Lytechinus pictus: one gene and its partners. The protein of the gene in region 1 interacts with the protein of each later gene in a pairwise test. Links are inferred from orthologs where the notes say so. Each region holds a gene or a part of one and is shown on either strand. Other genes may lie near its edges. The genes, in order: serine/threonine-protein phosphatase PP1-beta catalytic subunit, uncharacterized protein LOC129271240 and nuclear inhibitor of protein phosphatase 1-like.

Evidence for each region.
Region 2: the proteins of serine/threonine-protein phosphatase PP1-beta catalytic subunit (region 1) and uncharacterized protein LOC129271240 interact in a two-hybrid assay, tested with the Drosophila melanogaster proteins (2 studies listed by BioGRID). The link is inferred for Lytechinus pictus from reciprocal best matches to the Drosophila melanogaster genes flw and Sara.
Region 3: the proteins of serine/threonine-protein phosphatase PP1-beta catalytic subunit (region 1) and nuclear inhibitor of protein phosphatase 1-like interact in a two-hybrid assay, tested with the Drosophila melanogaster proteins (2 studies listed by BioGRID). The link is inferred for Lytechinus pictus from reciprocal best matches to the Drosophila melanogaster genes flw and NiPp1.

The regions. Positions count from the first base shown.
Region 1 is NC_087251.1:11,502,220-11,510,503, forward strand, and holds the start of serine/threonine-protein phosphatase PP1-beta catalytic subunit, read left to right. Parts: upstream 1-4,832; 5' UTR 4,833-4,864; intron 4,865-5,002; 5' UTR 5,003-5,148; coding exon 5,149-5,200; intron 5,201-8,284. UniProt on the Drosophila melanogaster protein: Required for cell adhesion in non-muscle tissues and in maintenance of muscle attachment. Vital for larval development.
Region 2 is NC_087255.1:33,954,943-33,962,883, forward strand, and holds the start of uncharacterized protein LOC129271240, read right to left. Parts: upstream 3,460-7,941; 5' UTR 3,381-3,459; coding exon 744-3,380; intron 129-743; coding exon 29-128; intron 1-28.
Region 3 is NC_087261.1:1,178,378-1,185,877, reverse strand, and holds the start of nuclear inhibitor of protein phosphatase 1-like, read left to right. Parts: upstream 1-4,459; 5' UTR 4,460-4,764; coding exon 4,765-4,790; intron 4,791-7,500.

The DNA of each region.
Region 1 (8,284 bases):
AGCCCCCGGCCCTGGTCCATACCGTCCATTTTGCCCAAAAGTTCTCACTCCCAAAATGGACTCGATAGCTCAAAATCACACCCCACCTAAAATCCAGTATCATGAATTTAATAGTATTCCGAGAGCAAATATTATAGTCAAGGCGTTATTTTTCACCAATCACACCCCCTACATTTAAATGGTTCCTTTTTTAATTATTTTTTTTACTGAGGTCCATTTCACTATTTCTCGCCTTCTCACAATTGTCACTTTCATGATTCAATTTGAATTGTTTATTGAAATTTTATCGATGGAAAGGCTAACAGTAATTTTTTTTTCTTCTATTTTTGTTCTTATAAATATATAAAGGGCTTACTTCTGGACCTCTGACTATGCAGCTCGATATCCCCTCAGATTTCTGAAAAGTCTACTATCAGACACTCTGAAAGGGTGAAGATATCAAAATAATTGGAAATAAAATATATTTTCAATTGGTGATTGTGAAATCGTGAAATAAATAGGCCTATACTGGGCAAATCAGTGATAACGAAATGTCCATGTTTTTTTTTTTTTTGCTTCTTGAAAAAAATAGTACCCCCTTCATTTTAATTGGACCCCCCCCCCCCCCATTTTAACAAACATAAAGTCTCCAATTGAATCGTTTACTCGGACTATATTTATTTAGAGCTGGTAATCAAGTGCTCAATTTCAGTTTAATCAGTGCATGGACCTCACTTTCCATAATAACTGCACATTTTCAGCATAAGTGTTTAACAAGTATTCTTAATCTCAGTATACTATTTTATTTCCTTTTAACGGCCTCTCTAATTTTTCCGCTTGCGACCACTTGGATACATTTTGCTAAGGATTGCAACGGTTACAAAATACGTGAAGGCTTCTTAACGGCAAGTGCCCCTTTTAAGCTAAGAATTAAACAAAAAACAAACAAAAACACTGTATTAACACAAGTGCGCTTGTGTTCCGGCCATTCTAAATGTTAATTTTCCCAAGCCAACTTACTTCATGATGTTCCTTTGTATTTTGTGATATCTATTTTGTCTTTTTACGATCATTTCCCTAATGAATATTCCCGTGTAAATGTTACCCTACTAGTAAGATGGCGATCTTAAAATAAAATTGATTATATCAAAGAGCACGGGCGGATTCTGATTCTGCTTTCGCCAATAGTGAGAGGCGAAAAATATATTCATCCACATTTTCCCTGATCGGCCGCTCACAAAGGTGAGTTTTGTTGGTTAATTTCAAGGGTTAGTCTTCTTGGCTTTATTCTTATAAAATTGATAATTTCATCTCATAAGCCCTAATTAAATAATGCGAGCGCGAAGCCAGAGCTGATTTTTTTTTGTAATTTCATGTTGTTTGTCCTGAAAATTGAACATTCTTTGCAACATGATTGATCAAGAACAATTTTATGAAAGGAAAAATAAAGGAGAGATTTAGACCTAAAAACTGGACACTCTTTTTATATTTTGTAATCATGTAAAAGATGGGTATCTTCCTACATGAATCCCATGAATAAAACGAGCGCGAAGCGCGTGCAGAGCTTTTTAAGTATTCTAATCTGAAAATGGAAAATAAGTAAGCACGTTTTAAACAAAGAGCTAGCCATGCGTGCGCGAAGCGCGAGCTCTGTTTCTTTTCACTTTTTTTCACAAAACATATTTTATCATTGTGAAAAGGAAGAGTACTTCCTAAATCAATAATGCGAGCACATAGCTCAACTTAAATTCTTGATTATCCTATCTGACAAGGGGAAAATTTAAGCACTATGTAGAAAAAATTGTGAAGAGGATATGGATATGGATTGCACTTAATAAATGATGCGAACGCCAAATACGAGCTGATTTTTTTCAATATAATTATTTTGATATATAGGAACGGGATATATATTCAAAGCGCATTTTTGTATCATATTCCTCCTAGTAAGTGCGAGCTCAAAATTGTTGATATTCGGATCTAAAAGGGACAATTTGAGGATTAGGAATTCATGAAAAGGATATAATTATCTCATTTAATATTATAATAGGCGTAATGAGAGCGCAAAGTTTGCCGATATTAATTACAACATGTAAGCACTTTTGTAATGATGAATATGATGGGTTTATAATTTAATGCAAGCGCAAAGCGCAAGCCGAAAGTTTTGATAAACTCTCATTAAAAGGCCGGGATAGAATTCATATAGAAGTACATAACTCACTAACAAAAATACGAGCGCGCAGCGCTGGCTGATAATTTTGGACAATCAGACCTGAAAACAAATATTCTAAAATGAAGTACACAAGAGAATAGGTAGGCCTATTTCACAAATCAAAATTTCGAGCTTGCAGCGCAAGCTAAAAAAATGACATTCTAACCATAACACAAAATATTTTAAGTGCACTTTTTTTTCTAAAATAAATGGGTAAATCAAAGAAAATAATGAGAGCTCGATGTCCGAGCTGAAATATGTTTAAATGTAGGCCCACAGTGACTTCTCTGAACCAGATACTAATATTTGAAGCTCCGTATCAGCCTATTGAGCAAGATATGTCCGAGTCATCGAACAGGTATAAGCGATCATAATTTTTTTTCTTCTAATTTTCTAAGTCTTCCAATCGTCATCATCTTATTCACTTGTCTTCCTCCTCTTATTTTTTTCTCTTCTTTTCATCTTATCTCTTTCCCTTCTATTTCTCTCCCTTTTTTGCACCGCCAATATAGGGGGGGGGGGTTCTTTCGTCCCCCATGGATCCGCCTATGAGAAAGAGGTTTAAAATTGAGATTCCCAGCATAAATCAGTGTCATGGCAGCTCTATAATAGGGCAGTTCCTAGCTACACGGTGGGCATAATCCGCCTCCCCGCCCCCCACATGGTGACGTGTTAAGGCGGCAATCATTTGAATTAGGACGAGTGGAGGGGGGGGGGGGGTACCGACAGTAAAAAGGGCATTACTATGAACTACCAATACAACCTTGTTTACAGGGAAACTAGTGACTGCTAAATGAGGACGGGGGGGGGGGGGCTTGGCGACTTCACATTTTTCCAAAGGCAAGTAACAAAAAACGTTTGAAATACCCCCCACACACACTTTCAGAACGGTGCACGAACCGCGGCCGGCCGCCCCTGCAAAAGAAATCGATTATTCTTAAAAGCCCATCTCTGATCTCGACTAGAAATTAATAATATTTATAAGATAATAATAATAATATCTATAAAATATAGGGCTATATGTTCAATTCATCGGCATAATTTGATGCTCAAGTGAAGTCATTCATAACTATAATGGTAATTCAGTAGCCCATTTGTTTGTGAAATTTGATTGCCTTTTACTCCCGATTTGAAACGTCTAATTTCAGAAATTGAGGGCTGTGTGTGATCAAATTCCTTTATCACCACATTATGCATCTATACAGAGGCGTCAATCCTTGGGGGGGGGGGGGGGGGGCGGCAGGGGGGGGGGGCGATCGCCCCACCAATGAAAATATGGGGGGGACAAACATATCGTTTTGCCCCCCCCCCCCAATAATTCCGCATGTGCAATAATAAAGTAAGATTGTAATGTTACACAGAAATCAGCAAGCGATACACAACTCGTTCTTTATTTAAAATCGTGCTCAAAATGTCCGCTTTTTAGATTGGAATATAAAAATTTTCAGCTCGCACTTCGCGCTCGCATCATTTCTGTAGCAAAAACCCATACTGCTTTTCATGATTAAATAGGTGAATAGAATGTCTCGTTTTCAGTTCTAAACCTCAAAAGAACTCCCGCTCCGATTTGCAATAGCAATAATCTTTTGTTGAATATATGTCTTGTTCTTTATTAAAAAAACTCCATTAAACACAAATTTTTTCAGATCGAAATATCAAAATTTTCAGCTCGCGCTTCACGCTTGCATCTGTTGTTCTTTTAGATACCCATCTTAATCATTAGTACCAAAAATGCTTAGAAAATCAAGCTTTCAGGTCAGAATATAAAGACATTTCAGCTCGCTCTCGGCACTCGCATTATCTGTGTAGTGAAATATGTATCCTCCACATGAGTTACTACAAACAGGTATCTTTTTCCTGCTTTCAGGTCAGTATACTAAAAAATTTCAGCTCGCGCTTTGCGCTCGCAATAATTTGTTGGTGAGATATGTGTCTCTTTCTCATGAGTCATATATATATATATATATATAGGCCTATGTGGGTGTGTGTGTGGGGGGTGAGTTTGTTTGTTTTGATCGAGTGCCTTTGGAACGTTGATTCATGACTTTGCCCCCCCCCCCCCCCAATCTGAAAAATGGATCGACGCCCCTGCATCTATAGGCCTACAGCAAATATCTCTATAAAAAAAAAGGAACTTGGAAAAAAAAGAATCGATTCCGTTTGTTACGGGACGGCAGCCGGGGTTATACATTTTTGTGGTAAATTAGACCTTCATTCAGGGATCGGATGAAAATTAATGTAAACAAAATTACATGTAATCTTCAGAAGACGAGCAAAATAATTGAAAACCGAAGATCACTTAAAAATTGCACAAAGTCGCTAGCCATGACATTATTCCCATCATGGACCTACTCGCATAACTTGGCCGAAGTGTAGCAATCAAAATTTAGGGAAAACCCCCTCTTGAGTAGGTTAAGCGGGCCCATAAGCGGACCGGAACAATACAAGGAAGTACTAAAGGGATGCATGCCCTGGTTTTTATCTCGACTAGGCTTATGAGACATATTCTTATTAAAGAATGTCATTTCATTGAAATTGTCTCTATTTTTCACTCAATAAATTGATAAAACGTATGTCCTGAAATTTGTGACCCTGTACTATGAAGGATGGGGCTCATTTTCCAAATAAGGAAATTCCCGTCCCTATGACGTCATGGTCCTGAAAGTGTATTGCAGGGCAAGTTTGATTTTGTAGAGAATTATTCTGAAAATAATTGGAATTAGATTATATGAAACTATTGTTTAGGTACATAAAATCTTTTTCTGTTGGAATCTATATTTTTCCTTAATTTTAGACTCTCGGCTTTTCTCACAGAACAGCTCGAATCTCCGAGCCGAAACAGAATTCCTCGCTCATCACGTCCGATCATTATAACGTACCGGTACACGGCCTACTAGAACGGTTGGCCTGCCTGGGTTAAAAATCGCCGATCAATAGTTTCTCACCGGCACTTTCTAATCATGGCGGATTTGGAATTGGATATTGACAGCATTCTCACTCGTCTACTGGAAGGTATTACTGTTGACATATTTGTAATGTGTTGTGGGTGATTATTTTGTACATTGTTGCTTTAATGGGTCAAAAATCATGATTTTTTTTCGAACCAGGAAGCGTTTCAGTAAACGCTGCGTGTAATCCGCAGATGCTGTGTGTTGCGTGAATGAGCTCGGTACGGTACCGGTATAGGCCTAGTGCATTCGTGATCAAATGCAAATGACTTCAATCAGCTCCAAAGCAACGTCGGTTCTGTTCATTAATATTTATGAGAGCAAATCGTTGTTCAAGAAAGTGCTTTTTTAGTTGAACACATTTGCACTTGCAAAATTAAATCTGCCATAACTGGTGATGATTGTCAGATGAATGGACATGATGGAGGTGGAATTAAATTTGAGTCAACTGAAAATGAAATCAAAGCTGAATTTACAGAGTTATTTGTAACGTTACAAAGTGTGCATGCGTGTATTCTGGGGGGGGGGGGGGGGAGGCGAGTAGGCGAAAAAGAGGGCGCCAAAAGAGAGGAAAAGAAAATGGAGAGTTAAAAGAAGGGAAAGAAGAGAAAGGGGAAAAAGGGAAAGAAATAGAGAGGGGAAAAAGGGAAGGGGGTGGGTGCCGAATTGATGTTCGGCCTAGGGGGGCGCCAAGTTGATGTTCGACCTACATTGTAGGAATGTAGGGGGCGCTGAATTAATATTTTACTTTAGTGGCGCCAAATTAATAGGACTTAGTGGGGCGGGGAATTGAAATTCGACACTGGTGCCGGATTGATCCTCAACCTGGGGGGGGGGGCAGAGAATTGATGTTCTACCTAGGGGTGCCGATTGGAAGTTGATGTAGGGGCGCCAAATTTATGTTCTACCTAGGCTATGGGTTGCCGAATTGATGTTCGACCTAGGGGTGCCAAATTGATATTCGACCTAGGGGTACTGAATTGAAGTTCAACATAGGGGTGCCAAATTTATGTTCTACTGTACCTAGGGGCACCGAATTGTTACATTTGACATGGGGGGGGGGCACCAAATTGATGTTCAACCAAGGAGGGCGCCGAATTGATGTTTAACCAAGTGGGGCGCTGAATTGAAGTTCGACATACAGGCGCTGAATTGATGTCTGACCTAGGGGCACCAAATTAATGTTTGATATAGGGGGCGCTCGCATCAATTGTTTAGATAGATACCCATCCTATTCATGGTTACAACATGTACTTTAGAACATCCAGTTTTGGTTTTGACTTCGGAAATCGGAATATCAAAAATTTTCACCTCACACTCTGCGCTCGCATAAAGTGATTTGTTAGATACCCACCCTGTTCATGATTACCAATAGTGCATATAATGTGCAGTTTTGGGCGGAAATTCAAAAATTTTCAGCTTGCGCATTGCGCTTGCAAAAATGTTGAGATAGATGCCCATCTTCTTCTTGATTACCAAAAGTGCTTTACTTTCAAACTTTAATAATAATATAATAATTACATGTATGGTTGAAACTACCCCTTATCGACCACCTAATCTTCTAAGCTTCGTATCTGCGAAAATATTCATCAATTTTTACCCAGATTTCGTCTCATTTGTGCAGAAAATTGAGCAGATCAGATTCCTATGTTTCGCTCGGCGACTCTGATTCAATCCGCGTATCGACGAACAACGAATACGACAATTTTACATTTGCTCATTTGCACCCGTCTTTTGAAACCGACCACCCGTGTTACGCTAAGTTTACGGCCGATTCTTGTCGCAGTGGTGAAATATTTTTACTTTTCAAAATCAGTTCTATGATGTCAACATGTTAAATTATCGTCTCAATACTTCCACTGCGAGCTCCGGCACATGATTCGACGATTGACGACGGATATTCGTTCTAAAGCTGTTTCCTATCGGATTTCTTGGTTTTTCAGCGGGGTTTGGGTCTGGTCAATACAATTTTGATTAATTCTACTAAATTTTTACTTTTTGTTTCTTTTTTTCTCGTAAAATCGATTCTTACCGTTTCTACGGACACTGCGCCTACTCTCCCGCGCGTATCGTTTGTAATACGCAATAATTTTAACACGCGCAAGGTGGTCAGTTTCAAAAGAGGTGGTCGATATGTGGTAGTCTCACCATACTTCTTATTAAGCGCTTTTTCAAAAGTTACAAAGCGCTGTACAAATGACAAAACAAATACAATCGGTGAAAACTTAAAACAAAACTACACAAAATGAGATTTAAGCATCTTCTTAAACACATCAATAGAAGAACATTGTCTAAGTTTATGGGGTAATCTATTCCAATATTTGGGGGCAAACACAGAAAATGACCTATCACCTACTAATTTTAATGTTCGGGGGATGTGAAGATGGATATGTGATGATGACCGAGTGTTGTTCATTGCTTGAGGTCAAAATATCAACATTTCTCAACTCGCATTTCGCGCTTGCATTAATTGTTTCTATACGTATACCCATCATGTTCACAGGTACAAAAAGTGCTTAGAATATGTAGATGAAAATATTTTTTGGCCTCCCCCCCATAGTGAAAGCTGGATCCACCACTGGTAAAGAAACGTCAGCTCCTGCCCACATAATTTTAGTAAAATTGAAACCCCAAAGTGCTTAAAATTCTATGCTTTCAGGTGGAGGCATTTCATAAAGCTGTTTGTAAGTTAAGAGCGACTTTAAAGGACAAGTCCATCCTAACACAAAGTTGATTTGAATAAAAAGAGAAAAATCCAACAAGCATAACACTGAAAATTTCATCAAAATCGGATGTAAAATAAGAAAGTTATGACATTTTTAATTTTCGCTTAATTTCACAAACAGTTTTATGCACATCCTGGTCAGTATGCAAATGAGGAGACTGATGACGTCATCCACTCACTAATTCTTTTGTATTTTAATTTTTATTATATGAAATATGAAATATTCTAATTTTCTCCTCATTGTCAAGTGAAACAACGATGAATTCCTCCTGAACATGTGGAATTAGCATTGTTTAATACTGTATGGTTCAGTCAAGTTGGTCCTTATAGTCAAATCTGTAAAAAATGAAATATTGTATAATTCAAACAATAAAAACAAAAGAAATAGTGAGTGAGTGACATCATCGACTCTCTCATTTGCAT
Region 2 (7,941 bases), on another chromosome or scaffold:
ACAGAGAGAAATAAGGAGAGATACAAACCTGTGAGTATAGCATTGAGACAGCCTACACACACCCTTGCTTCTTTGCTATCCATGTACCTCAGTCGAACACGAACACTACAACACTTGGAGCAAAACACCTGCAAATATAAAAGCAAAAAATTCATGAGAGTTATCCTTCCACATCACTGGACTAAAATGTATGCATGCATGACATTTTCTACAGTAAAAGGTGAATGCCAAAGGGGGCTTTAGGGGGATTCATTTGCAATGAACATTTCTGATCAAGAGTACATTTTGCATTTCTGATAAAGAGACACAAGGATCCATATGAGCTATTTTTGTGTCAATACACTATCTACGGTATACTGTATATTCCTTGCAAGAGTACAAGCATAAGGTATCATAAGAATTGCTTCATCTATGAATATATTTTATTGTATTTGACATGAGTTATGTATTTCTACACTTTGCTCTTCATACAATTTGAATTATGCCCAGGTCAGTTTTGGAACCATTAGCAAAATAATTGAATCTTAATACATTTACATATTTGTAGATATATCTTATGAATTTGTCTGAAGCCATATACATTTTATTGATTGATGATTTTTTTTAGAACCTGGTCTGAATTACAAGTACATAATGTTGCAGAAAAACTGCCGCCCCTGAGATAAAGTCAACCAAAAATGGTTATTCATCAATCATGTTACACAAATAAAAACAAAAACAAATTAAAAAAAGCTATTGTTTACCTTTCCACATGCTCTGCAATGATGTCTCCTTTTCCTGAAGGTGAATTTCAGGTTACACCCCATGCAGGAAGGTGCGTCTGAGTCAGGAATCCAGATAGGTGCAACATCACCCGGCACAGGTTCACCACCTCCTGGAGCTGGTACCATGTGTTGAGCATTCACTGCATTGTTCTGTGCTGTCATCGGATCCATTCCCTCAGACACAGCCAACTCTCCATTCTCAACAACACCGACATCACCGGGCATGTTCCCATTACCTGAAGGCATGGCTCCGTTTTGGCTTTGCTCAACCGGAAGACCCATGCCCGGTGTTAACGAGACGTTGGGCGGTGCCACGAAATGTGGATTATGAGACGGGTCACTCTCATTAATGCCCTGTGTGTGTTCATCGGGATATCCATTCATTTGTTCCGATCCACCCATGCCAAAGTCAAGAGTCAGTCCATGACGGGAAATATTGCGCTCTTTGTGTGTTGCTTGTTCCACCTGTTGGTAAGATGGAGGGTCCGGCGGTAAATTGTTTAATGAATCCTCAAGGTTAGCTTCAACAGCCAGCTCTGGAGACATTGAAGGTGGAACTGGTTGAGCTGTGGATAATTCCGGAGGAGCCCCAGCTGGAATTGAAAAATTTTGCACGGGGGCAAGATCTTGCAGTCTGCTGTTTTCACTGACCTGGTGACTAAGTTCTGTATGATTGTTCATAGGGCTTGACAGATGAGATGTGTTTGGTTGTCTTTGATGTTCTTTGTCAACAAGGGGCAGGTCCTGCTCCCCATTTTGATGGCTGGCTGCATGGCTTACAGTGTCAGGGTTAACTTGGTGTCTTTCATTATTCATCTTTGGCATAACAGAAATGTTGACATCGACAGATGGCTGGGTGATTCCAAAACCTAGAGTGCTCACAGCTGGATGGACACTTGATGAAGGGTCAGCTTTGCCAGGAGAAACCACACCAGGACAATCTCCTGACTGCAACTTGGTATGCATAGATGGGTTTAAAATGTTGGACAAAGCAGCAGGTACAACCTCTTCTTCCGTTGAAGATTCAAACTGAGGATTGCTTCCATAAAATGGGTCCACTTTGGCTAACTCATTGTCATTTCCTTTGGAATTGTTCATTTCCAACCTATACTGTTGATCAAGAATCTTTGATAAAGGACTAATTCTATCTTCGATATTGTCCTGATCATCGGGAATGCTCAAGTGATTACTATGGGGTGTAATACTCACATTGGGTGGTGCTGAAATGTCATTATTCAATGGTTTCATAGTGTTGCGAGGAACCCTCGCAGTTGTCGGAGATGCAATATCTGACCGTAGTGGTACCAATCCCGGTGCTGAAGGTGCCACACTGCTGTCCATGGTGTTCCTGTCCTTGTTCATCATTTCATCTTGCCCTGTCAACATGTAAGGTGATTGACTATCCCCTGCCATCACAGAAACATCCTGATTCGTTGGTCCAAAAGTGGGCATTTTCCCATCCCTTCTTAAAACCTCACTCCCAGACACATCATATGCCAATGGTTTTGAATCATGATCATCCAATTCATCAAGTTCTGACTGAGACACTGTCACATTGGACAGAGTACTGAATCCAATGACGGGCGGTGACTCGGTCACTCTTATCACATTTGATGGCGGCTCCTCTTTCCCCTGATCCTTGTCGCTTGTGTTTTTCAGAGGGCTCTGTTCTGGAGTCTTGTAACCTAATTGCTTTGGTCTTGCACCTTGTCTCATGTATTCCTGCATGGTTTCTGAATCCACTGGTGGAGTACTGGAGCTCGAGGTATAACTGGTTGGTGAACCTTTCTCCAAAGTATCGTCTTTGTTCAGTTCTATCGATCCCATTTCTGCCGTCTCTTGCTCCACAGGTTTCTGAATACCACTGCTCTCAACAGGTTTTTCAACTGGTTTATCAATCGATCTTTCAACAGACACTGATTCATCTTCAGTTCTAGTAAAGAGGATGTCATCCATTGAGTTTTGTTCTGTTCCACTCTTGGTGGAAGAATGCTCATGATTTTGTTCGGATATTTGACCAAAGGTATTTGGAGTAGACTCACCTACTGTGTCCCGCACACTTCCTGAAGTTTCTGAGTTGCTCTTTGATAGTGCCATTTGTGAAAAAGTGGATACAGGAATTTGTTCTTGATTGCTATCAAGTTTTGATGAATGTTCCTCACTTGAATGTCCTTTCATTTCAGATTGTTCTGTAGGTGGTGAGGAGTCAATATTATTCAAATCACTTATTGACATTGATCTTGTTGAATATGTTGTAAAGTCTTGCCGATCTAGCTGGGAATTACTGTCTGAATACATGACCTCACCAGTGATTCCAATGTTCTCGTCGGAGGCAGTTGCTTCAGATGGCTCTGCTTCCTTCTCAGCAGCCAAGCTCTCTTTCAGAGCAGAGAGAAGAGAAGATGGCTTGGCAGATGGTGCAAAGTCTGCCTCTGACAAATCTATCAGCAGATCACTTCCAGAGTTACTGGATGCTGCATCTGACTGCGACCGTTGATCTCCATCCACAGACCCATTGGTCAGCCCCCCTTGCTGGACATCCTCTAAAGAGAGACCATTGGAGTGTGGTGTTGTGTGAGTAAGATTGAAGTCAGGTTTGCCAGTGTTTGACATCATGTAAGGTTGAGAGCCTGACCCTTGAAGGTGAGATGGAATAGCCTTCCAGTTGGCTTGCTGGACGCTGGGTTCCACAAATTCTGCAGTAGGGAATAGCAAGAAAGAGAGAGAGGGGAATTAATAAATATCTTGATTTCGAAAATGCATGCAGTATGTGAGTACACTTACATGTACATTGGGTTTTTTGCATGTGAATGAATGCGGTCTGATGTCTGAGACAAATTTCAAACATGTACACTGTAATATACTATGGAGCAAGACAGACTTTGTCGTTTTGGATTTAAGACACATATCTGTCAATCATGAATATTTTTGCCAGAGGGTTTGGAGTGTAGACTTCATCCTAGAAATATTATAATTTGTGAACAAATATGAGTCTATGCTTGCAGACTACATCTACACTGGACTACAATTCTAGGGATTTTCTTCAACATTGCATGTAGGCCCCATTTGTCCTTGTCCTCGGTCTGCAATTTATAAACTGAGGATCCTCTAGTAGTTAGTAATCCTCTCCTTCAGACAAGTCTGAAAGCCTCTGACCAATTATGATCCAATCAAATGGCAAATTTTATGTCATAGTACATGTCATTCTACACCTCTTCTTGACAACCATGGCCAGCTACAGCTAGTATATAGGCACAGACCTTTGCTTTTCACAATTTGCATAGTGCATACATGTAACGCAGTCTGAAGTAGTGAGACTATATTCACTATAAGTACTGTTGCTGCTTGTACCAAAGAGACAGATAGTTTGGAGTCTAGTCTTTCACTCTAGACATGTACATGTACGTACTGTAATTTGTAAAGTGTCAAATATGAGTCTGTGCTCGCAGACTACATGTAGGACTAATAAAGCTTAAAGGACAAGTCCACCCCAACAAAAAGTTGATTTGAATAAACAGAGAAAAATCCAACAAGCATAACACTGAAAATTTCATCAAAATCGGATGTAAAATAAGAAAGTTATGACATTTTAAAGTTACGCTTAATTTCACAAAACAGTTATGCACATCCTGGTCAGTATGCATAATGAGGAGACTGATGACATCATCTACTCACTATTTCTTTTGTATCTTATTATATGAAATATTCTGATTTCTCCTCATTGTCAAGTGAAACAACGATTAATTCCTCCCTGAACATGTGGAATTAGCATTGTTTAATACTATCATGGTTCAGTCAAGTTGGTCCTTATTGTCAAATCTGTGAAAAATGAAATACAGTATAATTCAGACAATAAAAACAAAAGAAATAGTGAGTGAGGGACATCATCAACTCTCTCATTTGCATGCCAATAAGTTGTGCATATCACTGTTTCGTGAAAACTACTTAAGCGAAACTTTAAAATGCCATAACTTTCTTATTTTACATCCAAATTTGATGAAATTTTCAGCGTTATGCTACAGTAGTTTGTATTTTCTCTATTTATTCAAATCAAAATTTTCTTGGGTTGACTTGACCTTTTAAGCAAAGCTATCTTTCACAGTCTCCTGATCCACAAAAACTGATTTGTAGCATTATCATTTTATGAAGGAGAATCACAGATTTGGGAAAAATTTCATTTTCAAAGAAGTAAACATATTTTGTCTATATTATACATGTAGTTGATTTGTTATATGGATTGTTAAATTGATTTGCTTTCGATTATTGCAATGTACACAAACATTTAATTTCGGTAAGATTTATTTCTTTAAACTTACTGTATAACAGCGAAAATCAATAAGAATAAGAAAATATATAAAAAAATTAAAAAGTGCATTTCAAAGATCATCAATAAATCCATTCTAAAGCTGTGACAAAGGGTCAAGATAATTATGTATGTTATGATATCATTTAACAGTCATGTCATGTGTAGTGGCCACCATGTCTATTTCTAATTTCTATCTAACCCCTTCTCTTGGCAATGGCTTTCAACCAGATAAATGGTAGGTCTACATGTACCTCAAGGCTTAAATTAAAGGAGTTGAATTTTATCATCCAAGTCTAAGATAATTTTAAGATTGCCTACACAGTACTGTATGTAAAGGGTTTCAGCCAGTAGGAAAATTAGTTTTGAGGGGACTACCCTTGACAAAGTCCTGGTTATTAAAATAGATCTGCAAAATCAAACATGAAATTGCAGTGAATGGGGTTTTTTCAGGAGTCTTTTTTTTTATTCTTCAGGGCTATTTTTAGTATTCCTGAGGCGACATCAGCCCAAATACTGGGTAATCCCCTCCATTGTTTCAGCTGAAAAGTCCCCGCAATAAAAGCAGCACTTCACAATCAACCCAGAATCTCATTTTGTTCTCCCCTTGCAAATTGCCACCTTAAACAAATTTGAATGTAAACTGTAATCATCAAAATATTGCACATGAGCAATGAAAGCTGCATGTACACAGGCCCTAAACATGTCCTGTACATTATGTACTGCCAAGCAATATATCGCCCAGGACGAAAGCTTGTCTTTTGGGACAGTGATTGTGATCACAACACAGAATGAATTAAACTGCCATCTGGGTGTACTGAGCCTAATGTCCTATAATGACTCATGCAATGCTTTCACAGTTGGACAGGCAAAGTTGTTTATAAACTCCCACAGACGCTTTTATGACAACAGAATGACCAACGGGATTTCGGATATTTTAAGTGTCATACATCATATATATGTATGTATGTCACATGAATGTATTCCATGTATGTACTTTTCTTAAATCTGAAAAAATATGAAAACAATCATGGATCTTAAACTTAATTAATTTTCCTCACAAATACCGCCATACACTGTGGAAACAATAATTTTGCAAGATTGGGGGGGGGGGGCACTCATGAATAATATGGTACAGGGGTGTGTCACCCTTTCAGATTTCAATTTGAGTCCTCTAGATACTCAGTTCAGTAAACTCACATGTATGTAAAAGCCACTCACATCACTCTTAAGGCCAGGCCGCAAAATTTACGGAAGTATTTGAATGCAAGAGGGGGGGGGGGGGGGTGGCGTACAAACATTTGAAAGGGCGCAAGGTCATGGCCTTTGGTGGCCTTGAGTTGAATTATTTGAGCTCTGTTGTGTACAGACATAAGCTTTTAATAGGGACTTTAACAACCTTCCAAAATTTCTTAAATCACACTTTACGGCCCAGCAAAAATAATGAATTTTACATTTTCGGGGCTACTTATCACAACTTAAAGGGGAAGTTCACCCTGAAGAAAACTTTGTTGTAAAAATAGCAGAAAAAATAGTAAAAAATATTGGTGAAGATTTGAGGAAAATCCGTTAAAGAGTAAGAAAGTTATTAGAGTTCGAAGTTTTGGATTTGTGACGTCATAGACGAACAGCTGCCCCATGTGTTATGTAATATAAAATGCATGAATTTCAAATTTTGCATGGTTCCTGATGATTTATTTTTGTTTTCTATTCATGATCGGGTGTGAAATGATTTGTCTATTGATATACAAAAGGTATAGTGAAAACCATTTTCAATTTTCTGAGAAAATGACATTTCATTGATTTTTTACCATTCGCTATGTAGGAATGCTGCTCGCATATGACGTCACAAATCAAATAATTGAAATTCTAATAACTTTTTAATTATTTGATGAGTTTTTCTCAAACCTTCAGCAATATTTTTTATTATTTTTTCTGCTATTTTTACAATAAACTTTTTGTCAGGGTGAACTTCCCCTTTAATGTCTATTAAAATATTCAACATCGGATAAGCTTTAAAATTACAATGAATGATGATTATGAGCATTTTGAGGGTGAAATTGCCCTGAGCTTCCATGTTATTTTTCCCCTGTCACAGACACTTTTACAGCTTCATAAAGAGAGCTCTGCCAACACTGTGAATGTATTTGTAAAGACATTATTTCCAGGACTTTTAAAAAAGGTAAGCTAGAATGCTAGATAGAACATGTACATTAAACGGCACTGTACGCATGCATGCACTGTACATGTTTACAAACACCCATTGAGAATTAGATCTACTTGCAGTTCATGCAGTGTAACCTGTCTCTAATGAGCTTTCTATCTTTATCAGGTTTCTAAACCTTTAAGCTTTTAATACACAGGTCTATTGATGAATGTATCATTCACCATGCCTACATGTATATAGCCTCTTGTCGAGGCCCTGTCGGCTGCTTTCCAAGCAAACATGGCAAAGCACGGGAGAGAGCGAAGCAGAGCGCCGCGAGACGGGGCCTCTTGACATCTGTGCCAAATTTCACCGACTTTCTTTTGTTTTTTATTGTTTTTACCAATTCACCGACCAAAAACTGGTCGGTGAAAATCATCCAATGAGAGCGCGAGCTGCTATGACGTCATATTAAATATTCATGAGCTCCTCTTGAATGGCGACCCTTGGATTCTTGGCAAAGAGTGACGACGAAATATCAAAGATCACTGAATATGCCTCTAAAACGCTGAATATTGACCGATTTAAGGATTTGCAAGTCGATGAAATTAACTCTGCACTGAAAGGACGAGATGTCTTTGTAAATCTACCCACAGGATATGGAAAAAATGTAATATTTCATGCGATTCTACCGGTCGATCCGGGGCGTCGATTATCGATCTCCGCTG
Region 3 (7,500 bases), on another chromosome or scaffold:
GGACTTAGCCATGAAGACTTTACATATTTCAACAATCAAATAATGCAAGCGTGAAGCGCGAGCTGAAAATTTTTGACATTTCTACGTAAAGAATGGAAAAATTTAATCAATTTTTGTAATCGTGAACAAGATAGCTATATAACTAAGCAGTAAATAAAGAGGCTTTAATAGCAGGAAATCATAATTTATAAATAAATTTTCGGCATTACTCCTATGTGTTTAAGATCGCATGCTCGATCTTTAATGAAAATCATAACAGAAGAGGATTGAGGGTATTTGAATTCTAGTTCATCGTGATAGCCGTGAACAAGAATAGCCTGGTGGTTAAGTCGCTGCCCGGAAAGCAGTAGATGCAGGTTCGAATCCCACTGGTTCCAATTTTTTCTGACTTATGATGTTCATTGAAGATCGAGCATGCGATCTTAAACACATAGGAGTGATGCCGAAAATTTGTTTACATATATAACTAAACAATTAATTATTTGATGCGAGCGCGAAGCGCGAGCGTAAAAAAAATCGAGATTTAGACCTTAAAACGGGACTCTCAATTCACGTTTTGTAAATCATGAAAAGAATGAGTAATATGGGATTTTTTTTTTCTTTTGAAAATAATTTTATTGGTAACATAATCACATGAAATAGTTACATAAAATGTAAACAATGTCATACAAAGCATGAAATATTTTCTTCAACAATACTGTTTTCAAAAATACACAAATTTTTCCTTTTACAACGCTTCTCTATTTCTATACGATTACAAATCAACCTTTTGAATAAACACAGTATACCAAACTCATGAAATCGACAACTCCGACTTACTGTTCGAATAAAAATTGAATAAATAGCATACCTTGCATACATAATAAGAAGATTCAAAATTCTATACTCTTTATTTTTTAACTCATATCCTTTTATCAAAGTAGCAACATTAAAATCAAAATTAATGCCTACAACTTTATACACAATGGTACTAAATTTTGTCTTTTTTCTTACACGTTACAAATAAATGTACGCTGTCTTGTATTTCATTGTCATGTGAACATAAAGGATTATCCCTTAACTTCCATTTATACATATTATATTTATGAGGTAAAAGATTATGTAATAACTTATAATTAAACTCTGCTATTCTATTTTCTTTGACAGTTTGTAAATTAAATAACCATACAGATTTCCAATCAATTTCTTCTTGTAAAATATTTTCCCATCTTTCTTCAGCTTTAGGCTTAATACTTATGTTATTTGAAATAATGGTGTAAAATAACTTTGAACCTCTTTTCCTAATTACATTCGTCAAAATATTCTGTAGAATGTTTTCATTTTTAGGTTGAAGAATCTCAAAAAATAACTCAAACCGGTTCATTTTCCAAACTTTCGGTATGGCATTCATTACAATGTTATACTCCTGAAAAAGACTTGCATACTTTTTTTTCAAATAAAACTTCTATTTCCTTTAATGATTTGAGTTTGGAATCTGAAATAATGTCCTTTACCTTTAGAATTCCAATATCGAACCATCTTTTAAAAAACAATACATTTCCATTGCGATCTTTTATATTCGAATTAAACCACAAACTTTCCTTCTCGATCTGGACATTTTGAAAACCTGATTTATTTTGAACGGTTTGCTTAAAATTCAACCAGGCGTAAATTATTGCCTTATGATAATATGGCATTTTTATTTTATCTATATTTTATCTACATATACTTTAATTTCTTTTTCTGTACAGTTACTATGTAATACAAAATCTAATCCTCCAAATTGAGAAAGATAACTATCAATGGTTGTACTAAATTTCGATTCTTTGTTATTATAATGATACAAAATCCATTTCAATAAAAAGCTTTGGAGTAACATATTCAAATCAACCATTTTGAGTCCATCTAGATCATATTGCATACAAACAACCTTTCTCTTTACTTTATCTATCTTTCCATTCCAAAGAAAAGAAAACAATAGGGAGGTTAAAAGCTTTACAACTTTCTCTGGCATTATAATCATTTGAGCGTTATACAACATTTGAGAGATGAGAAATGTTTTAATTACAAGTATTTTTCCTGTTAAAGTTAGGTGACATGCATTCCATGATTTAATCAAACGTTCTACTTTCAATATTTATATGAGATCTTCGTACATTAATAATGCGAGCACAAAGCACGAGCAGAAAATTTTTGATATTGTGGTCTGAAACTGGATAATGATTTAAATTAAGAAAACAAGTTGAGTATCTGTATAAACATATGCGCGCGTGTTTCGACCTAGCTAGAATCTAGGCATTCTAAATAATCTTTTATCATGAAAATCAAAGTGAGCGTAAAGCGAGCGCGAGCTTAAACTATTTGATATTCCGATTTGAAAAAAAGAGTTTTGACATAGGACCGGGACATCCTTAGGACATGTGAATGACTGTCTTCCTATTCCTCTTGCTAAGCGCAAGATGAAACATAAGGGCAATTTAATTCTTAAATTAATATCTATGCCTATTCAATATTGAGGGCGCGAAATCTGATGATATTATGGCCTGAAAACTTGACATTTCAAGCACTTTTTTAATTATAAATAGGACGCATCAGTTAATGTATTTAAACCATTAAAGCGAGCGCAAATTGCGAGCTTAATTTTTTTATACACTGTCATGAAAAGGGGATTTAAAGTATAGTTTGTTGTATAATTAATATTGAGACATTATATAACTCACCAATCAAAATGCGAGTGTGCAGCGATAGCTGATACGTTTTTACAATCAGACCTGATAAGGGATATTTTGAAAATTTTATGGAATACACGAAAATAAAAGATACCTGATAAATCAAAATTTGCGAGCGCTCAGCGCGAGCACAAAATTTTAATATTCAGACCATAAAACTGACATTTTTACAGAGCACTTTTTAAAAATGAATTTGTAAATCCAACAAAATAATGAAAGTTCGATTTCCGAGATGAAATATGTTATGTATATTGACTTCAATACTTATTTCAAGCTACATATCAGCATATTGAGCAAGCTATGTATCTCACCCGGGGGGGCCACTTCCATTCACGAGTGGATACCATGCGCGACCATGGGGTCTCGAAAAGCACCCTAAACACGTAATTTCCATATTCTGAAAATGCACCCCTTAACAAGTATTGGCGTGTGAAACCCTACCCCTTAACAAGTATTGGAAACAAAACGATACTCTTTGCAAATATTCCCTGAAATGAACCCCTAAACAAGTACAGGAATGTTTTATTGTTACGGGTCCTTCGGTCGTCGGCTTTACCTTATTTGGTTAAGTACGACCCCACCTTCTACACCTCACGCAAATTGGACTCTAAACACGAAGTGTTGGGGCAAAAAGGACATCCTTTATAAAACATTTTAATTTTGTTTTATCATCCCCGCAAATTCGACCCTAAACACGTAATTGTCCTAGCGAAATAGATACCCTTTTTTCATTATTTTTGTGTTTTTGACACCCTTATCACGTTACGTACGTAACGTGCCCTATCGTGAAAAAGACATCCTTTTTACGTGTTTTTTTGGTCGCGCATGGTATCCACTCGTCAATGTAAGTGCCCCCCCCCCCCGGGGTATCTCATCGAACAGGCTATTCCCCTGACCTTATTTTATTCACTCGTCTCCCTCCTATTTTCTTCTTCTTTTTTCCTCCGTTCTTTCCCCTTCTTTTTTTCTCTTTCTTTCCCTTTTTTTTCATTTTCAAGGGGGGGAGGGCATCGGGCCCGGCCCGGCTTGATCCGCCAATGTATCACGGTCACCTTGACTTATCATATTTGAAACCTACATACCACGCATACCACATCATGCACACACGATAAGATAAATGATTATAGCTCTAGAACTACTCAAATATGCTCCTCAGAATAGATTATATGAGGTTGATTGTTATCATCCAGCGCACATTTTAAAAATAAATGTGGATTTCTAAACGGGACATCCAATCTTTGTTCTGATCAATATTTGTAACACATGTCGGACAAAAAATCATGAAAATTGTCATTTTGGTCAAAACATGGCAAGAATGACCACTTCTATTGTGATTTGGCAAATTGGCAAATGAAACCACTTTATTTGGAATCTGGGTGCATTTTTACTTAGGATGGACCTTAATTGGATGTGGTTACAAAAGCATTTTGTTATAAGGGACCATTTTCCAAAGAGTGGTCAAAATTGTCATTTTTGTTCAAAAATTGGCCAAAATTGCTCAAATGTCGTGAGTACGGTCAATAAGACTGACTATTTTGGAATCAGCACACAATTTTACCCCGGATAAGCCTGTCAAACCTTCCCCACCAAAAATTCTGAATAAAGCCCCCTTTAATTCTCCCGATCCTACATGTGGTGTGTGCCGCGCCCTGAACCTAAATGTGTGTGTGTGTGTGTGTGTGTATTTGAGTTTTGTCAGACGTGTATCAATCAGATATGATTATTTACGTCTGGGACCGACCTTTAACGTCACCATCCGAAAGACGTGACCTGGGGAGCGTTTCATGAAAGGACTTGTCGGACGTTTTATCCGACAAGTCCTGTTTTATCCGACAGTTACCATAGTAACAGTGCCTCACAGCCAATCAAAATCAAGGAAAGATGTCAGATCTGACAACTTGCCGGACAAAAATCTTGATGAAACGCTCCCCAGGGCTCGAACCTCTGCATCAATTTGTAACTTCCCCACAGCTTGGATTACAGGCGCACGCCACAACGCCCTAAACTTCCTAAACGTATCTTGACCGTAGATGGCAGCAATCCTTAGCTCGTCAACATGGCGAATTTCGAGGTACCGTCATGGTAAGATTTGTTTATTTATTTACTCAGTTTTTGGTAAAAAACAGATCTATTTATCATTTTCTCAGTGATATGGTCCGTGTGAAAATTGATCCGTAGATTTTTTTTTAAGATCTAAATGAAAAACAGTATGGGAGCAGCTGATTTTCAACCCTGTTTCTCGCTCGCTCAGGCTGCCTTCGCTTCGGGCGGGGCGCAGCCCGGCCCCGGCTCGGGAGCTCGCAGCGGACAAGGGGAGACTCCAACATTGGCATGGTGGCGTGGGCCGGGGATTGGGCGTGGGGCCTTATCCTGAAATAAGTCATCTCTCTTCTCGTGTGTGTCAGTGTGTTTGAGCTCGTTGTGTTATGAGTACAAAGTCAATGGGAGATAGATGAAGAAGTCACTGACGAAATGAACGATCGCGATGTCGCTGTCCAGTGAATGTAGTGGTGACTTAAACCAGGCAGGATATTTAGATAATAAGGAGCTTTCGATTGTCTGCGACTGCAACGTAGTCCTAGTTCACCGGAAGTGGTGACACCGCTCGTTCAGTATCACGTTCGTACATTGATGAAAACAGTTTCGATTTAAGTCGACGTACCCGTACCAGGCCACAGCATATACCAGCGTGATAGCGAGCGGGCCGTGGGCCGATGCTCGGCTGGAGAATCAGGCGTAGCATCACGCTACGAACCAGTGCCAGTGGGCGTGTGGGTGCAACATTTGCACTCTTGCGCAAAAAGCCGAAAAAAACACAGTTGTTTGGGAATAGAACAACAATTACCTATCGGATTAACCCAGAGAGCTCCCGCCCGCTGCGCGGGCGGGAGCCCAGAAGCTTACCGTGTATTTGACCATATTCACTGGACTAGGGTGATTTATGGTCTAAATATTTCTCCAAATGAATTGTGAAAACAGAAAGTATACAATTACCACAATTATATGGATGAAGGTCTAACGAGTGGCAGTTTCCTGACATCTGGGCACAGACTGGGACCTCAAAAAAACGAAAAGTTCTCTCCTCTACCCCAGTCTCGATCGGCCATTTTGTTACGATTTTTAACAAAAATGGCCGATCGGAACGGGGGTAGAAGGAGAGAACTTTTCGTTTTTTTGAGGTTCCAATCTGTGCCCAGATGTCAGGAAACTGCCACTCGTTAGACCTTCATCCATATATCGTGGTAATTGTATACTTTCTGTTTTCACAATTCATTTGGAGAAATATTTAGACCATAAATCACCCTAGTCCGGTAAATATGGTCAAATACACGGTAAGCTTCTGGGCTCCCGCCCGCTGCGCGGGCGGGAGCTCTCTGGGTTACTATCGGATATGTAGTGTCTGAAAACAGGACACACTAATGGAAAAGCTGGTAACAAGCAGTAATTTGCAGTTTACCAGCCCTGCTGAATCAACGAAACTCGAATGTTGATGCGGCTTCATTCATTTTTGCTAAGCTTGGATGACGTCATCATGTACGAACTAGCGCTCGTTCGAGCACTATGAGTATGATACCGAACGTCAAAACCCTCAAATACGAGTCACAGATTTGAGCAGTGAACGAGAAGGCTCGTCACAGATTACTTCGCGCATGCGCAGCGCTCCTAAAATTCCTTAATCTCGTACGTCCACATGGCTCCTCACAGAAAACGAAAGGTCTCCAATGCCGGGCTTGGCGGCGCAGGAGGCTCCGTCCTAAGCCTGCCCTTGGCTTAGGCTAACGTTCGACAGTGAAAATCATTTACTAATGTATCAATATTGTATGCTTACTCTCCACGGAGCCACGGACGGATGCCATTGCTCTTTGCACACCAAGTATTTTTCTTTGGCAACAAGTTGCTGCAAAATACCGGTACTTGTTTTCATAAGACTTTACTGTCTTTAAAGTTTAGTTTGTGAGCCCAAACTATATGACATAGACTAGACATTGTTCATGAAAGCAAGATTTATTTTACGTTGATCGTGTTAATTTTCTGGTTTGATTAAAGCACAGTACTGCGCATGCATGATTGATAAGCGATGACTTTCATTCATGAATTCATCGTGCATAAATCATCTCGGCACGAGCAGACGAGTAAGACTCGAACAATGATCGAAATCATTGAAATAAACTTCAAATTAATGGTGAATATGCATCATAATTGCACAATCGGTTTCATTTTCGGGGGAATATAAATCAAGTAAGTAGTAGTCAAGTTGGACATTACTGATATTTTGATGATTGATTGTGTGAACCAAACAAATCTTTTTTTTTTCGATGCACAGATTTGGCAAAATCTGCACCGGCGCTCGATGACATGGATCGAACACCGATTTTAAAATCGATTCGACTCAGGCTTAAAAATAAACTTGAAAGGACAAAAACAGTGACTTTCTTCAGCTGTCGCACAACTCCCACTTCCCTGGTTTATCGGAACTTAATACATAAACATATAGCCATTGAGTCCCTGTACAGATCGAGTTAGAACTTCGGTCTCTGTAATTGGTGAGTGGAGCCGACGGAGTTCAGCGGAACAATTAATTTAACAGAGAAAGAAGCTTTTGGTCTAGACATACACTAGAGCTAGATCTAAATCAATTCAAACTGTCTAGAATCTATATGTTTATTGTTCTTTTTTACTCGACTTTTCCAATGAAATTAGGCTCGGTAATTAACCTAGCTGTATATTCCATCAACTTCTCTTTTCCCTTAATTTTAGACAGTACTTAGGCTATCCACTATTCAATTAACTT